2 linked regions of the Diceros bicornis minor genome follow. The protein of the gene in region 2 interacts with the protein of the main gene of each other region in a pairwise test. Links are inferred from orthologs where the notes say so. Each region holds a gene or a part of one and is shown on either strand. Other genes may lie near its edges.

Region 1 (7,746 bases), on a different chromosome or scaffold from region 2:
GAGATCATCCGTGTGAGTGGCCCCAAGCATTTCTGAACTCCACTGTGCACCCTGAGGACAAGCAGCCCCTTCCCCACATCCTACCGACAGGCTCAGCAAAAGCCCGGTGAAGGAACCAGACCCTGCTCTCCCCTGGAGGAGGCTGTGTCCAGAGTGAGCACCAGAGCAGAAAGCCCACTGGTGTCTGAAGACTTAGTGCCATGATATATGAATCAGTCATTCCTCTGCGTTAGTGGCAACGACGCAAAACTAACTGGGAGTCTTGGGGAGGGCACCACCTGTCCAGGGCAGGTGGCTCCACTGCCTCCACACACCCTGGGGGCACCAGGGCTTACGCAGGACCCGAGGTGGGAAACAAACAGCTCGAAAATACCCACCACAGCAGCTCATGAAGGAGCCTTCCAGACCCTCTTCCTCGGTTTTTGTCAAAGGCATATGCAAATATCTTAGCACCATTTCCATCTGCGTCTACTTCCATCCGGGCCTGAGAAGAAACAAGGAAAAGTTCTATTAAAGAATCTCTGATTCTCGGAAACATTTCAAATTCGTCTTAGAAAAATCAAGTGAAACAAACAAGCCAGAAGAATAAATGCCAGTCTGGTTCCTGGGAAGTTAGGGGTCTGAGGAGGCTCCCACAGACACATGGCACTGAGAAGCCACTGCATCCCAACAAGCACCCGCCTGCATTCAAGTAAGACACGCGCACGAACCACTCTGCAAACTGCTGTGGACAGAGAAATAAACTTTCGTCCCCTGAAGAAAAGCCCACAATCCACTGAGAGAGAAACCCCTGAGCAAATAACTACCATGAGGGGGGCTGAGGTAAGAAAGTGGTGGCCCCAGACTCCTGGAGGCTGGAAGGGGAGGAGCGGGTGGTCGTCAGCAGACAAGAGTGGAAGGCAGGGAGGCTCAGGAAGACAGAGGGTGGCGAGCATGTGAGGCCAAGGCCAGAGGAGACGTGGGGTGGCACTGGACAGGTTCCAGGGAACTGGGCTTGTCCTACTGAACAATCAGCCACAAACATGACACAATGTGGTCTGTTTTCTAGGAGAAGCCAGCACCTAGGTGGAGGTAGGGGAGGGCCAGTGTTGCACAGGCTTCACGGGCCAGCTCACATGCACAGTCTTGCCCTCACATTACAGGGAAGAAAACCCATCATCCCTTGTTACCCTCCCCAGACACGGGCTGGAAGCAGGCCAGCAAAGGGACAGCCATCCTTACCTCAAAGGAGTAGCCCTCCACCAGCGGGATGTCTTGCTCATCAATCAGGGTGTACTTGGTCTGGAAATTAACGTTTCAAAACGTTACGATTGGAGTCAGTGTAAGGTACTAATAACAGGCAGGAATAGCCCCTTCAGACTGAGAGGGGTCAGCAGGCAAGGGGCATGGGGCAGTCTACCCCAAAGAGCAGGTCAGCGTGCCAAAGGCTGGTCAGTCCCCACTCAAGAGCATACCAGAGGAGACGGTACCAGGCTTCACTTCCCATCTGCACAAGACTAACCACAAAAAATGGACCTGAACTGGGCAACCTCTAAGCCGTACATGTTAATGCGCCCATGAACCCCGTCCACCACCGGGGCTTCGCTGCTGTAGAGGGAGGGGCCAGGACAGAGGCAGGACATCCAGAGGATTTCAATTAGTGTTTATTTAGTAACCTAGGTGGTTGGCACGCAGGTGCACACTACATTGTCCTTTTTTGCTTTTTGTCTGTCTGAAACATTTCAAACAAAAGTTTTAAGGGATGACATTAATGCAGCCAGTCACTGACTTAAAAGGGGTCTCAGGGCTGAGAGAAGCCCACCCCGCCTAGTTAGAAAGCAACATCCCGGGCCAGCCTGGTGGTGCAGCAGTTAAGTGAGCGCACTCCGCTTCCGTGGCCTGGGGTGCACAGGTTCGGATGCCGGGCGCACACAGACGCACCACTTGTCAGGCCATGCTGTGGCAGGCGTCCCACATAAAGTAGAGGAAGATGGGCACGGATGTTAGCTCACAGCCAGTCTTCCTCAGCAAAAAAAAAAAAAAAAAAAGCATTGGCACGGATGTTAGCTCAGGGCTGATCTTCCTCACAAAAAAAAGAAAGCAACATCCCTCTGCAGGAAGGGCAGGAAACGTCCCCAAACCGACCAGTCTCACTCTTGCTGGGAAAGCTTTTTTCTAGGATCTGAATCGGTTTTACCTTCATCTGACTGCCTCTGCTCCTCTCTCCCACCAGAAGCTTCCGCCGCTGGTGATGGGAACAGGGTTCCCATCCAGGGTGAAGTCTGTGGCTGGTGCAGCTGCACGACCGGCCGGCTCCTGGAAACAGCCAAGCCTGGATGCCCACAGGTGCCAGGAAGCCCCAGCCTCGAACACACGGAGGGCGGGGCCAGGTAAGGGAGAGAAGCAGAGGGAGACCCTGCTCTGGCAAGGCCCACTGAGGCTCAGCCAGACGCGGCCACCGCTGGCAGCGTGAGACCTGCGCGAAGCTCCACTACTGACCGACAGGCACGGAGCGGCGCGCACACACCCGTCTTGGCAAGCAGCGAGCGCGCCGCTTCGGAAGGGCGCAGCGCTGCCCGCGGCCGCAGGTGCAGCCCGACAGCTCTCTCCTCCCCCGGCCACAGTGCACGGTCTGAGCCCCAGCCCGCGGCCCGAGGAGAGCTGCCCCGCAGGGACACGCCGCCGGCCCGCCGTCCGTACAACCGCCCGGCCCCACGCTCCCGGCTCCCGGCCAGAGCCCCGCGCCCCCGGCCCCCGGCCCCACGCTCCCGGCTCCCGGCCAGAGCCACGCGCCCCAGGCCCCCGGCCAGAGCCCCGCGCCTCAGCCCCCGGCCCCGCGCCGCTCACCTTCCCGGCCACCCGGCCGAGCCGCACGATGCCCAATTTGAAGTCGGTCATGGCCGGGCCTGCGCTCGGCCGGCGGCGCCGCTCCCTCGGGAGGCGCCGGGTCGGGCCGGGGCGGGGCCGCGGCGCGCCAGGCGGGCGGGCCGGGGCCGCGGTCGGGGCCGGGCGGGCGGGCGGGCGGGACGAGGCTGGGCCGGACTCGGGCCGCCACCGCCTCGCGCCCGCCGGACCTGCCACGCGCCGCCGCCGCCACCGCGCGCACCACCGCGAGCGGGGCTGAAGGCGGGGCGGGGCGCGGACACACCCCCGCCCGCCGCCTCCTGGCCAATCGCGGGGCGCGCACTGCTCCGGCCGCCGCGCGCCGCCGCACCGCGGCCAATGGGCGGAGGGCGAGTGCGCCTGCGCGCTGAGGAGCAGGGCGAGCGCGGGGGAGGGGCGCGGCCGGGGGCGGCGCCTGCGCGGCCGTCCCGCGCGACGTCAGGTTCGCGGGAAGCTTTGTGCGGCGGCGCTCCGGCCTCGGGGTCCCCGCCCCCGGCCTCACACCCCGCGACCCCCGCCCTGCTTGGAGGGCGGCCCGGCTCGCGCCCCGGCGCACTCCGCAGGGGCCCTGCACGTGGCGTCTGTGCGGGATCCGCTGCGGCTCCCCGCCTCCGGTCCCTGTGCTCAGGGCCGCGGGCAGGAGGCGCGGGGCGGGGACGGACCCAGAGCCACGGGCCGCTGCGGAGCAGGGGCCGGGGCAGGGCCTGCGGGACGCAGAAGACGGCCCGAGCCCCGCCAGGAGCGCCCTCCTTCCTCCCCGGCCGCCGGCCGCGTCCTCACCACGGGGGCCGGGGCTCCTCCACCCAGCCCATCCTCGGGCTGCACTCACCTTCCCGGGGCCTCAAGCTCCGTAACTGAGCTGGGGCGATGCGCCAGGGTTCTGAATGCTCCAGGTCCTTCCTGAACAGGACCTCCAGGGCCTGACGGCCATGGGGGGCCTTCTGCCCACCACCCGTGTCTCCTGGCTACCACTCCAGCTGGGCTTCCACCCGCAGAACCTACTGAGACTACTCGACAGCAGTGCACAAGGCAAATTAAAAACTCCTGCTTGTATTCCAGCGAGTGAGGCAGAAGAGGCCCACAGTGAGGGAGTTATATGCCATACTAGAAACCGATAAAGGCTATGGCAGAAACAAGTAGATTGGCATTAGGGGGTTGGAGTCCTGGTGAAGGTGGTGGGCAAAGTAGGCCTCATGGACAAAGGTGGCCATTGTGACCAGACCTAAGTGAAGGAGAGCAAGAGGGGACAAGGTCAGAAAGGTGGTAAGGGGGGGTCACATAGGCTCTGTGAGGACGTTGACTTTATGCTTAGAAAGAAGGGAGGCTGTTGGAGGAGCTGAACAGGGAAGCAGCCTCTCAATGACTCACGCTGGCTGATGGGGACAACTGTTTACACCGGGAAAAAGTGGAAGCAGGAATGCTGTTAGGGAAATGAATGCAAGGGCTCAACCAAGAAACGATAGTGTTTGGGCACATATGCTGGCGGTGTTCTGTAGCAGTCAGGGTAGCCCTGGTTATGCTACAGTAACAAACAACCCCAAATTCTCAGTAGCTTAGCAAAATAAAAATGTATTTCTTTGTTTTTTTTGTGAGGAAGATCAGCCCTGAGCTAACATCCATGCTAATCCTCCTCTTTTTGCTGAGGAAGATTGACCCTGGGCTAACATCCATGCCAATCCTCCTCTTTATGCTGAGGAAGATTGGTCCTGGGCTAAACATCCGTGCCCATCTTCCTCCTCTTTATGTGGGAGGCTGCCACAGCGTGGCCTGACAAGCGGAGCCTCAGTGCGCACTGGGGATCTGAACCCGGGCCACCAGCAGTGGAGCGTGCGCACTTAACCGCTACACCATGGGTCCGGCCCCTAAAGGTGTATTTCTTACTCATGCTACATGTTAAGGTTACAAGGCAGTTCAATATATGAATATACAGTTGAGGGGAGATGTCCAGCCTGGGGGTATAAATTTGGCATTCATTAGCATATTTGTTATATTTAAAGCCATACAACTGGATGAGATCACCGTGGGAGAAAATGCAGATAGAGAAAAAGAGAGGTCAAAGACTGAACCCTGACACTCCCATGTTAAGGGGGAAGAGAGGCTAGAAAGAGGAGGAGTCAGTAAAGAGAAAGAAGATGTTAAGTAGGAGGAAAACCAGGAGACGGCAGTGGCCTGGAAGCCCAGTGGAGACAGCGCCTGTGGTACAGGGAGGGATCAGCGATGTCAAACGCTGCTGACAGGTCCTGTAAGATGAGGATTGGGAGTTATTCAATAGATTGAGCAACACAGCATGAGGGCACTGGTTACCTTGACAAGCACAGATTTGGTGGTGTGGTGGGGGAATGAGTCCATAAATGGTTAAGAGGGAGTGGAAGGAGACAACTGGAGACCATGAGACAGACAACTCCCCTGAGGCGTTTTTTGCTAAAAACAGGAGTCAGGGTGCTAGAGGGAGTGAGGGAGGTAGTGGCCAGAGATGTGTGGATTTGAGATTGTGAGAGGGCTGCAGTTGTTGGTGACTACCATAGGTTTCAGTTACCTACCAATGTGTAACAAACCACCGCAAACTTAACGGCTTGAAATAACATTGATTTATAATTTCTCGCAATTCTAATTGACTGGGGATCTTCGGTTGCACATGGTGTCAGCTGGGAATTTGAGTGGGACACCTCATTTCTCCTCCGTGTAACCTCTCTCTGTGTGATGTCTCATTATCCAGGGTTTCCCCACATGGCCAGGCAGGATAGCTAGACTTCCTTACAGTGTGGAGGCTGTGCTGTGTGTGACAAGTGCCACTGGGCAAACATTTATTGGGTTTCTGCTTGAATCATGCTTGCTAGTATCTCACTGGCCAAAGCAAGTTATGTGAGCAAGCCCAAAATCAGCGTAGGAGGGCTGTGCACAAAAGCATGGGTTCACTGGGGGGCTTAGGAAGTGTGGTTCAGTGGAGGGCTACCAGTGGAACAGCCTGCCCCAGTCCGCCCTCTGGCCTCTAATGATCCATGCTCCTCCCACATGAAGATTGCACTCAGCACCTCCTAAGACCCTCAGTATCACCATCTCATCAAGGTGTTAGGCTTAGAGTCCAGTATCTTGTGATATGCAACAGGGCCAGATGTGGATGAGAACACCTCAGGTGTGACCCCTTTTGCTCCAGAGGCATGTTATTACCCCTCCCATACCCAACATTCTACGGTGGAGCACAAGATAACTGAATAGACACCGCATTCAAAAAGGAGGAGTGTACCCCACAGTCACTGGTCCATAACAATTTGGAAATTCAGCCAGACGTCCATCGCAGCGTTCTTTGATCAGGGCCTGTCTGTTCCCCGTGTGGTGTGGTTCCCTGACCTCCTGTCTGGGCAGTGCTTGGCTTCTCCCTCTGGACTCTTGGCCTTGCACTCTCGGTCATCCTCCCTTTCCATAGGAAATGGCCCAGGTTTGCAGCTGAGTAGCTTCCTCAGCTTCTTGCCTGTAGAAAGTTGGGGGCCCAGAGGCCTCTTTTATTTCAAACTCTGTCCATTTTAGTTCAAGCATATACAACCCTTAAAAAAATTTGTGGATTTTCTATGTATCAAATTAAAACTCACTTCATTAGACAAAAGCTACAGCACAAATGTCTTTGAGAAGGCTCCTTTCTACTGTGGGCTACAAGTCAGGCACTGTGGGACAATGACCTCAAAATTCTTAGAAGCCCTTTTGTATGGCTGACAGGGTCTATGAGGACCCACCCACCCAGAAATCTTTCAGAGGTCTTAACAAGGGATCATACAACCACACCCTTGAATTTATTTTGACCCCGAGGCCATGTTTTGTTGGCAGGACCCCGGAATTGATCTTCACCACGACACCGTCGCTCACCTTGAGAACCTCTTGCTGCCTGGAAAGGCTGGGAATGAGAAATAGTTTTTATTTGCCAACTTAGCAAGACCTGGCTTAGAAACATGTCCTCTAACTTCTGCTGGAAGATGCAACAGTCGCTTCTTTAGTTCCTTTCTCTCTTCCTTCACTTTCAGTAAACAAATGAAAGAAGCCAACTGGCCCTCTAAGCTTTCTGCTAAGAAAATCAGATCATTACAGACATTTTCTTTTGTGTGTGTGTGAGGAAGACCAGCCCTGAGCTAACATCTGATGCCAATCCTCCTCTTTTTTCTTTTTGCTGAGGAAGATTGGCCCTGGGCTAACATCCATGCCCATCTTCTTCTACTTTACATGGGACACCACCACAGCATGGCTTGAAAAGCAGTGTGCTGGTGCGAGCCCGGCATCGAAACCTGTGGACCCCAGGCTGCCAAAGCGGAGTGTACGTACTTAACCACTGCGTCACCGGACTGGCCCCATAGATACATTTTCTGTCTTCCACATTACCATAGGCAATGGCTTTGCCATTTTTCTGCTAATACCCAACATGGCTTATAACTTTCTCTAGCCTCCAACGGCAATATTCTCACTGCCTTTCTAGTGTCCTCCTGCTGCCTGGTTCCAAAGTCAGTGCCGTATTTTAGAATTTTGGTATGGCAGTATCTCACTTCTAAGTACCAATGTCTGTTCCAGTTATCTATTGTTGCATATTAAACCACCCCAAAACTTAGTGGCTTAAAACAACAACTATTTATTTTCTCATGATTCTGTAATCTAGATTGGGCTCAGATGGCTGGTTCTGCTATTGTTAGCTGGTGTGGTAGGCTTCTCAAATTATCACCATCAATCCCTTCCCTCCCTACAAGTGTGTGATGTTCCACCACATTGGTCCTGTGACTGTTTTGATGCATTTAATGGGTAGAAAGTTCTGGGACTTCTAAGCCCAGGCCTGAGGACTGGCTGCCTCACCTTCCTCCTTCTTGGGGGCCTACCGCCAGGCAATCAGTGTCACTCTCTGGAGACCAT
Region 2 (7,725 bases):
AAAAAAAGAAAGAAAACAATATATCGAGTGTATTTCACTAAAAGTATCATTTTATGAAACTCTTATTTCAGTTATATGTATGTGAGTATAAAATGCATTGTTTTCTATGGTATGAAGTCGAAAAGTTTGAAAAACATGGATATTTCCTAAAGGAATTCTATATTTTTGGATTTCAAGAACCAATAAGTACTCTCCAAGATAACAGAAAGTTGTTCATAGTAGCCACTTTTTAATATATAAAGGGCATCAAAAAAGAAACTTATAATCTCCTATTAATATCGTATCATGAAAGAACATTTTTAACATTGTAAAAACTGAACAGAATAAAAGGCTTTATGTAAAACTCACTACACTGTACATATTTTTCTCATTTCCCTATCTTTTGGAACACGAGGACAGAACGCCAGAGGTAGGAACTGACTCACTCAAGGTCACTCAGTCAGCTGTGGCAGAGGTGACACTTAACCCATATATCCTGGCTAGGCTTTCCAAGCTCTTCTCCTCAGAACCCTAAGAGATCCACAGAAGAGAAGCCCAGCAGGTGGGGCTCTGGAACCCCCAACCCTGTTTTATTGGGAGCAGCTCTGCTTATATGAGATTTCATTGCTAAAAAAAAAAATTTTCAAACCCCCTGGGAGGCAGGGCGTGGAATGCTGCCTCCCAGGATAGGACCAGATCATGGAGATCATTATATTCCAATTTAAATTTAGATTTTTTTCCCTAGCAGCACAAAGGAGTTATTTAGGATTTCTGAACAAGGGAAAGAGTAAACTGGGATTGTTTTCAAGGATCATTACTCAGGTGGTGGTGTAACAGCTAGACTGGCTGGGTAGGAACAGCAAGAAGCAGAGAGAGCAGTCATTTAACTATTGCAGTAGTCTTGGCACGTGGTGGTGAGGGGGGCCCTGCCTGAGGCAGCAGGGACACAGAGGACAGTACCCCTAAATTCTCTGGGTCATGGCTAGTCAGGGCCAGACCAAAGGCAGCCTCTCCAAATAGTACCCCATATTCCCTTTTTTTTTTAATGTCCTAATATCTAACTGCTTGGGCAGCTCTCCAGTCATAGGGGTCGGACTCAGGAGTCGAGGGAGGGACCCTCACCTGCAGTGCCAGCTGGCAGTCCTCAATCAGGCCCTGTACCAGGTAGTAGCGTGCTTCGCCTAGTAGCTCCCCCAGTTCTCTGGTACTCTCAGGCAGTGGCACGGACCCGTCCCGCAGGTAGTTGAGGATTGTACCAAAGTGGCGGCCGCTCCGGTCAATCAGCACCCAACCTGGTAGGGTGGGGAGAGGCAGGAAGAAGGATGGCTTTGCTGGGGGACCATGGAGCTACTACAGTTTTATGAAAAAAGGATTTCAAAGCTACACGTCTGAATATTGATCTATCTCAAACCTCCCCCATATCCAAGAAAATCCCTTTAAAACATCTCCAGTGAGTTCTCCCAAGGCCCCTTTTCAACATATCCAGCCACAGAGAATTAATTCTCTTCCAAGTCTATTCTACACTGAGAAGGTTCTCATCATGAGAAAGTTCTTACAGATTACCTTATCAATAAACCTCTAACTTCTTGTGTTAATTCTGACCATCTATTTAATTAAAATGTCTACCCCACCCTCCAGTTGTCTACCATTTTACCCTTTATATTCTTCATAGAACTTATTACTATATCTGGAATTACACGTATTTTTTTTTGTATGTTTACTTGCTTACTGTTCTCACCCTGCCCTCACGAAAAAGCAAACTCCATAAGGCTAATCTTATCAGATTCGTTCACTAAAGTATCTCCAGCACTAACTGGCTTACAAATACTTACTGAACAAATAAATTCTTCACCTTCAGATATTTGAAGACTGAGCTCCACCTCCCAAATGTTTATTCTCCTGCTCTTACAATCCTTGTTTACACCTTCTGAATCCCCCCCCCCACCCCGCCTCAAAAAAAACCCTTTAAGTTTCCACTTGGGCATGCGCGGCCCAAACCTGAATGTAGCACTCCAAGAAGGTAAGGTTCGCCTGCCAGGGAGAACTGTCCACCCTCCAGTCTGGTGTCCCTGGCAAACCCAAAGCAGCCTTCTCCTGCTACAATCGGCATTTACAGAAGGATTCCTAGAGGGTACAGGAACCTGGGTTAGGGGAACACAGAGACAGACAAGATCCGCCAACTCTCCAGGCTGGTTGTTAGCGGTGTTGAGTTAGCGGAACAAAAGGCTGGGCAGCTGGAAAAAACGGATGAAGGTTGCCTGGAAGGATGCTGCTGGCAGCAGGGCTGGTTTCCAAGTCTTTTGAGCTCAGTGGTGAAGACTGGGAGAACTAGGGGAGAGCGGTAATGAAAATTCCGAGGTGATCTGTTGAATCCCTTACCGCAGCGCCTGGCCGAGTTAGGGGAGGTTCCGTAAATGCTGGTTATTGCTGGGGGTCAAGACTGGGGGAGGAGGGAGATTACGAATGAGACGATGAGATGGGATGTGGGGGCCGGAGGAGGCGAGAATGAGTTCACTGGACCGCAGTGAGACGAGAGAAGGGTCATGAGGAGACGGGGCGACGACAGACTAGAGGAAGGGGATCTGGAGGCTGGAGGAAGCTCAAGCGAGGGCGGCGCGCGTACCTCCGGCGTCCGTGAGCACCTCCGCGCGGCCGCTGAACATGGCCTTGAGCAAGGTGTCCTGCCCCGTGAGGGTGCGCAGCGTGGTGTAGTGCAGCGAGCCGCCCACGTTCAGCTTCACGTACTTGCTGTTCGGCGTCAGCGGCTTGAGACCGTAGGCGGCGACGCCAGGCTCGAGACCCGAGGGTTTAGGAACTTCCAGGGACGGGGCCTCGGCCGCCGCCGGGCCCGAGGCTTCGGCCGACATGCCAGGTGGTGGCAGCAGGCAGCGATTCTAAGCACTCCGCGCCCCCTGGCCCTCCCGAAGACCCCGGGACCCGAGCTCTAGGGCCAAACCGCTGGGCTCGCACGCCCACACGCCGCCGCTACTCATCTACACCCGCCCTCAGCCCCATCGCGCCCGCACGCCCGGAAGCGGGGCCGAGCAGCTGCGCAGGCGCATCAAGGTCCCGCCCGGGCCTCGCGGGGCGGGGGGGGGGGGGGGAGTGCGGAGCATGCGTAGTGGCCTTGGGCCCGTTGAGGGGTCGCTCGCAGACTGCGGCGGAGACTTGCTGCGGGCTCTGTGCGGTGCACTGGCCTGGAGAGTACCGGAGACCAGCTCCAGGAGACGCCTCGCCATCTGCCTGCTGTGGAAAGCGACGTCCCCGCCCCGTGGTTGGCTTTCCGCTCTCGGGGCGCTTCGCGGGCGTGAAGGGAAAACTGAGGCCCAGAGAGGCAGGGGATTGGGCAAGGTTTCCCGCCTCCCAGCGCCACGCACTCGACAGACTGAGGAGAGCTTCGAACAAAGCACCAGGGGAAGCTCGCAAAGGAGGCCAAAGCGGGTGGGGGGGGGCCCTCCCAGGGGAGGTGGCAGTACTGCTAGGGCATGCAGGGTGGGAGTAGGTAAGGTTGTCATGGAGGGCCTCTCTGAGGAGGTGATTCTGGGCTGAAGCAGAGAAGAAGCAGCCACGTGGAGGTGTGAGGAAGACAGTTCCAGGCAGAGGGAAAGACAAATACACAGACTCTGAGGCAGGAACACGCTCGGTGTATTTGAGGAGCAGAAAGAATGTCAAGGGTGGCTGGAGTGGCTGAGCAAAGGTCTTAGAATCCCAGCTACTGCCGTGAGATACCCAACCCTGAAAAAAAAAAAAAAGATAGGTACACGTTGTTGACAAAGTGTGGTGAGAAGTGCGTTTATCTGACCCGATCTACATCCAGTTTAGAAGCTGATACATCAGAGATTGAACAATCGACTTTAATGCCTACCAGGGAGATTTGCTGGAGGGAAGAGGAAACACAGAGTCAGAGTTGTAGTTTCCATCCTGCCACCAGTTCACTGGGTGATCCTGGGCAAGCTACTTCCCTCTGGGTTTGCTTGCTTCGTTTTGTGCTTAGTGAGGGGTGTGAATTTAAATGCCTGCAGGGGACATGTAGGAGTGTAAATGAGTGGGGTGGGCCAGTTATTAGGTATTGGGGGGTAATGGAGCCTGTGGTGTCTGGTGGAGAGCTCATGTTCTACCAAAGGAGTGGCCAATTCTTATTTTTCAAGTGTAGCTGGTGAAAAAGAGAAAAGCAGCTTGTGACAGCTGGAGGCTAATTTGCACTCTCCCTCCAGAAGCCTTGGTGCTGCTGGAAGCCCACCTGGCACTATCAGCTAGGCTGCAGTGTTGTCCTGTTGAGCATAAACAATTTCAGAGAACACCAACATCAAAGTCACTCTCTGGTGGATTGAGAGAAATAATCATGTCCATAAGCATATCTGAACACATTGTCCAAACCACAGAAATGACCAAACACAACCTCCTCCCCGACATTTTGAGTGACTGCTGCTTCTTTACCAAGTACAGCTTTAGCCCCATCCATTCCTCCTAATTTCTAGATAAGAATTAAGATAACCAAAAAGAATTAACCCCACTTCCTGACAGCATCCAACCTAGAGCAAATCTCCGCTTTCCTGAATCCTCCTAGAAAATCACCTAACAAGCCCAAATCCTGTAATAACATAAGCTTTCTAACATGTGCTTCCTGAGATGCCCAAGATGGGTTCCCCATGATGTGCGGTCTCCCTTGTTCAACCAGAGGTGTGTTCCTGGTGGTGTTTGGCTGGAGAACATTGTCAGAAATGGACCAGCCAAAGAGATTCATTTAAACCCTCACTGCCTTGGACTGGGACCCTTGACACTAGTAATAATGTGCACATCTGAGACCCCTTGTGTCTCTGTTTGAGGTCCATCCTGCCCATGGCTGGGACGTAAGTTCTCGCTGACTTGAGCTCTGATGTTTCATTGAGACCCTTTAGTATTGGGATTGTTTGTCTTCCTTGGAATATGGTCCCCCTGGATTTTTTGGTTATCCAATCAGATTTTTATTTTTCCTTGGTGAAATTGTTTTCTGGCCTTCTATACCGGCTTCTATGGTCTGTCCTCTTGTCTAGTGTTTTGAATTTTGTTTGTCTATAAGAGGAAAAGTCTATAGGGAAAGGACAGGTTTGCAGCCCTAGATGTGTAAGGCCATCACAGACCTGTTATTGCTCAGTTTCTTGTGGCTGAATACCACTTGTCCCTCTAAGAAGTTGGGGATGCCAACCACTTGGGGGGTCATGTAACTAGTTAGCATGCTGGAGTCTCATTTGTTATCAGAATTAACCAGACAAATTGCTCCATCAACCAAGAGCCAATAAGTCTGTCCAACCGCCACCCGGCCCCAGAGGCTGTGAAATTCAGAAGGTATCCTCAGACCAGTGTCCTTTGGATAAACTTTGGCTCGGATCATCATTTCCAACCTTTATAAGGACTTCTTCCCGAGTTTTGTCTGTGTCTCTGAGAATTGTTTTGTTTCATTTCTTCTGCCCAGATCAGGACATTTTCTCTGGCCCCTGATCAATGACGACTGGCCTTTGGCCAAGTTCTGGAGGTACAAGGTTGCACAGCACCATCCTTATGGTGGCTCATCTTAACTAAAACTGGGCCAAGTAGCTGCTGCTTTCATGTTTTCTCATGACTAGACTAACTTGTACCCTTATATCGCTAACTGACACAATTTCACTAGGGACAAATTTGAAATTGCAGTGGCCATTTTGGGGAACTTCTGACAAGAACAAAATTGTTTATTTAAAGGTACTTCAGAACGAAAGAGGAAGAAACCCTCATGAGGAGATTGTCTTGTGTGTCAGAAAGAGAGATTATTTTGTTTAACACAGGCAATATTTCATTTCTGTACTTTGTAGGTTATTAAATGCTGACTTTTTAATTGTACAGCTCTATTAAACTGTCAAGTGCCTGAGTTATTATTTAAATGAGCTGGAATGTCACTCTTTTTGTGTCTGTATGTATATGTCAAAATCTGTTTTACTGTGTTTAAACTGTCTTCCCTGTCCTTGCAGAGGGAACATTGATTAGCTTTGGAGAGTGATAATTTTATATTTGTCTGAAGTAGCTTCCTCTCAATTTTTTTGCTATCCATTCCCTCTCTTGGAAAACTTTAAGATTAACTAATCAAAAAATTATTCTAGGGGCCAGCCCCATGGCATAGTGGTTAAGTTCGGCGTGCTCCACTTCAGTGGCCTGGGTTCATGGGTTCGGATCGCAGGCACAGACCTACACCACTTGTCAGCCATGCTGTGGCAGCGACCCACATATAAAGTAGAGGAAGATTGGTATACATGCTAACTGAGAGCTAATCTTCTTCAAGAAAAAAAAAAAGGAGGAGGAGGATTGGCAACAGATGTTAGCTCAGGGCTAATCTTCCTCAGCAAAAAAATAATAATTATTACTCCGTGGTATGTGTGCACTCTAGGAATAACTAGTCCAGTTAAACTGTCAAACTGTCTAAAAGAATTGTTAAACTGTATATGTTTCCTTTATGGGCACTGAAAAGTATATTTATGTAACAGGCTTTGTTATTATAGCTACAGGGTAAGAAAAGACCTTAGTTCCAAGATAAAAGAAGAGCTTTTAGCATGATCCAGTGTCTTTAAATTTTAATTTGCCATGTAAAAATAATGCCAGCACAATATTTCGGTTTGTACAAGATCAGGGTAAGTTTTCAAACGATGTAAACTTTCTTAATATTTACATATATATTCTATAATTTAAGTAAATTTTCATGGTTTTCATATATAATTTATCTTTTTTTCTTTTCTTTTTTTATAGTCACCATGTTGTACATTACATCCCCAGAACTTATTTATAATTGAAAGTTTATATATATAAGTTTATATGTAATTGGAAGTTTGTACCTTTTGACTGCCTTCACTCATTTCCCTCACCCCCCACCCCCCACCTCTGGCAACCATCAATCTGTTTTCTCTTTCTGTGAGTTCAGTTTTTTCAGATTCCACATATAAGTGATATCAAAGCGTATTTGTCTTTCTCTGTTTGATTTATTTCACTTAGTATAATGCCCTCAAGGTCTATCTATGTTACGGCAAATGGCAGGATTTCTTTCTTTTTATGGCTGAATAATATTCCGTTTTACATATACCACATTTTCTTTATTATTCGTCTGTTGATGGACGCTTAGTTTCCATGTCTTGGCTATTGTAAATAGTGCTGCAGTGAACATGGGGGTGCAGATATCTCTTTGAGATAGATATTTGGTTTCCTTCAGATATATTCCCAGATGTGGAATTGCTGGATCATATGGTATTTCTATTTTTGATTTTTTGAGGAACCTTCATACTGTTTTCCATACTGGCTGCACCAATTTACATTCCCACCAACAGTGCACAAGTGTTCCCTTTTCTCCACATCCTCACCAACACTTGTTATCACTTGTCTTTTCAATAACAACCATTCTAACAGGTGGAGGTGATATCTCATTGTGGTTTTGATTTGCATTTCCCTGATGATTAGTGATGTTGAGCACCATTTCACGTACCTGTTGGCCATTCGTATGTCTTCTTTGGAAAAATGTCTGTTCAGTTCCTCTGCCCACTTTTTAATTGGATTGTTTGGGGTTTTTTTTGCTATTGAGTTGCATGAGTTCTTTATATATTTTGGATATTAACCCCTTATCAGATATATGATTTGCAAATGTTTTCTCCCATTCTATCAGTTACCTTTTCATTTTGTTGATGGTTTCCTTTGCTGTGCAGAAACTTTTTAGTTTGGTGTAGTCCCACTTGTTTATTTTTGCTTTTGTTGCCT

Evidence for each region.
Region 1: the proteins of KCTD13 (region 2) and ZMYND19 interact in binary tests that used the Homo sapiens proteins (3 or more experiments, as listed by UniProt). The two-hybrid records come from large-scale screens. The link is inferred for Diceros bicornis minor from reciprocal best matches to the Homo sapiens genes KCTD13 and ZMYND19.

Annotation. Positions count from the first base shown.
Region 1 is NC_080767.1:44,091,292-44,099,037, forward strand, and holds the start of ZMYND19 (zinc finger MYND domain-containing protein 19), read right to left. Parts: upstream 3,002-7,746; 5' UTR 2,878-3,001; coding exon 2,827-2,877; intron 1,282-2,826; coding exon 1,222-1,281; intron 485-1,221; coding exon 378-484; intron 1-377. UniProt on the Homo sapiens protein: May be involved as a regulatory molecule in GPR24/MCH-R1 signaling.
Region 2 is NC_080765.1:21,747,981-21,755,705, forward strand, and holds the start of KCTD13 (BTB/POZ domain-containing adapter for CUL3-mediated RhoA degradation protein 1), read right to left. Parts: upstream 3,006-7,725; 5' UTR 2,847-3,005; coding exon 2,603-2,846; intron 1,272-2,602; coding exon 1,102-1,271; intron 1-1,101. UniProt on the Homo sapiens protein: Substrate-specific adapter of a BCR (BTB-CUL3-RBX1) E3 ubiquitin-protein ligase complex required for synaptic transmission.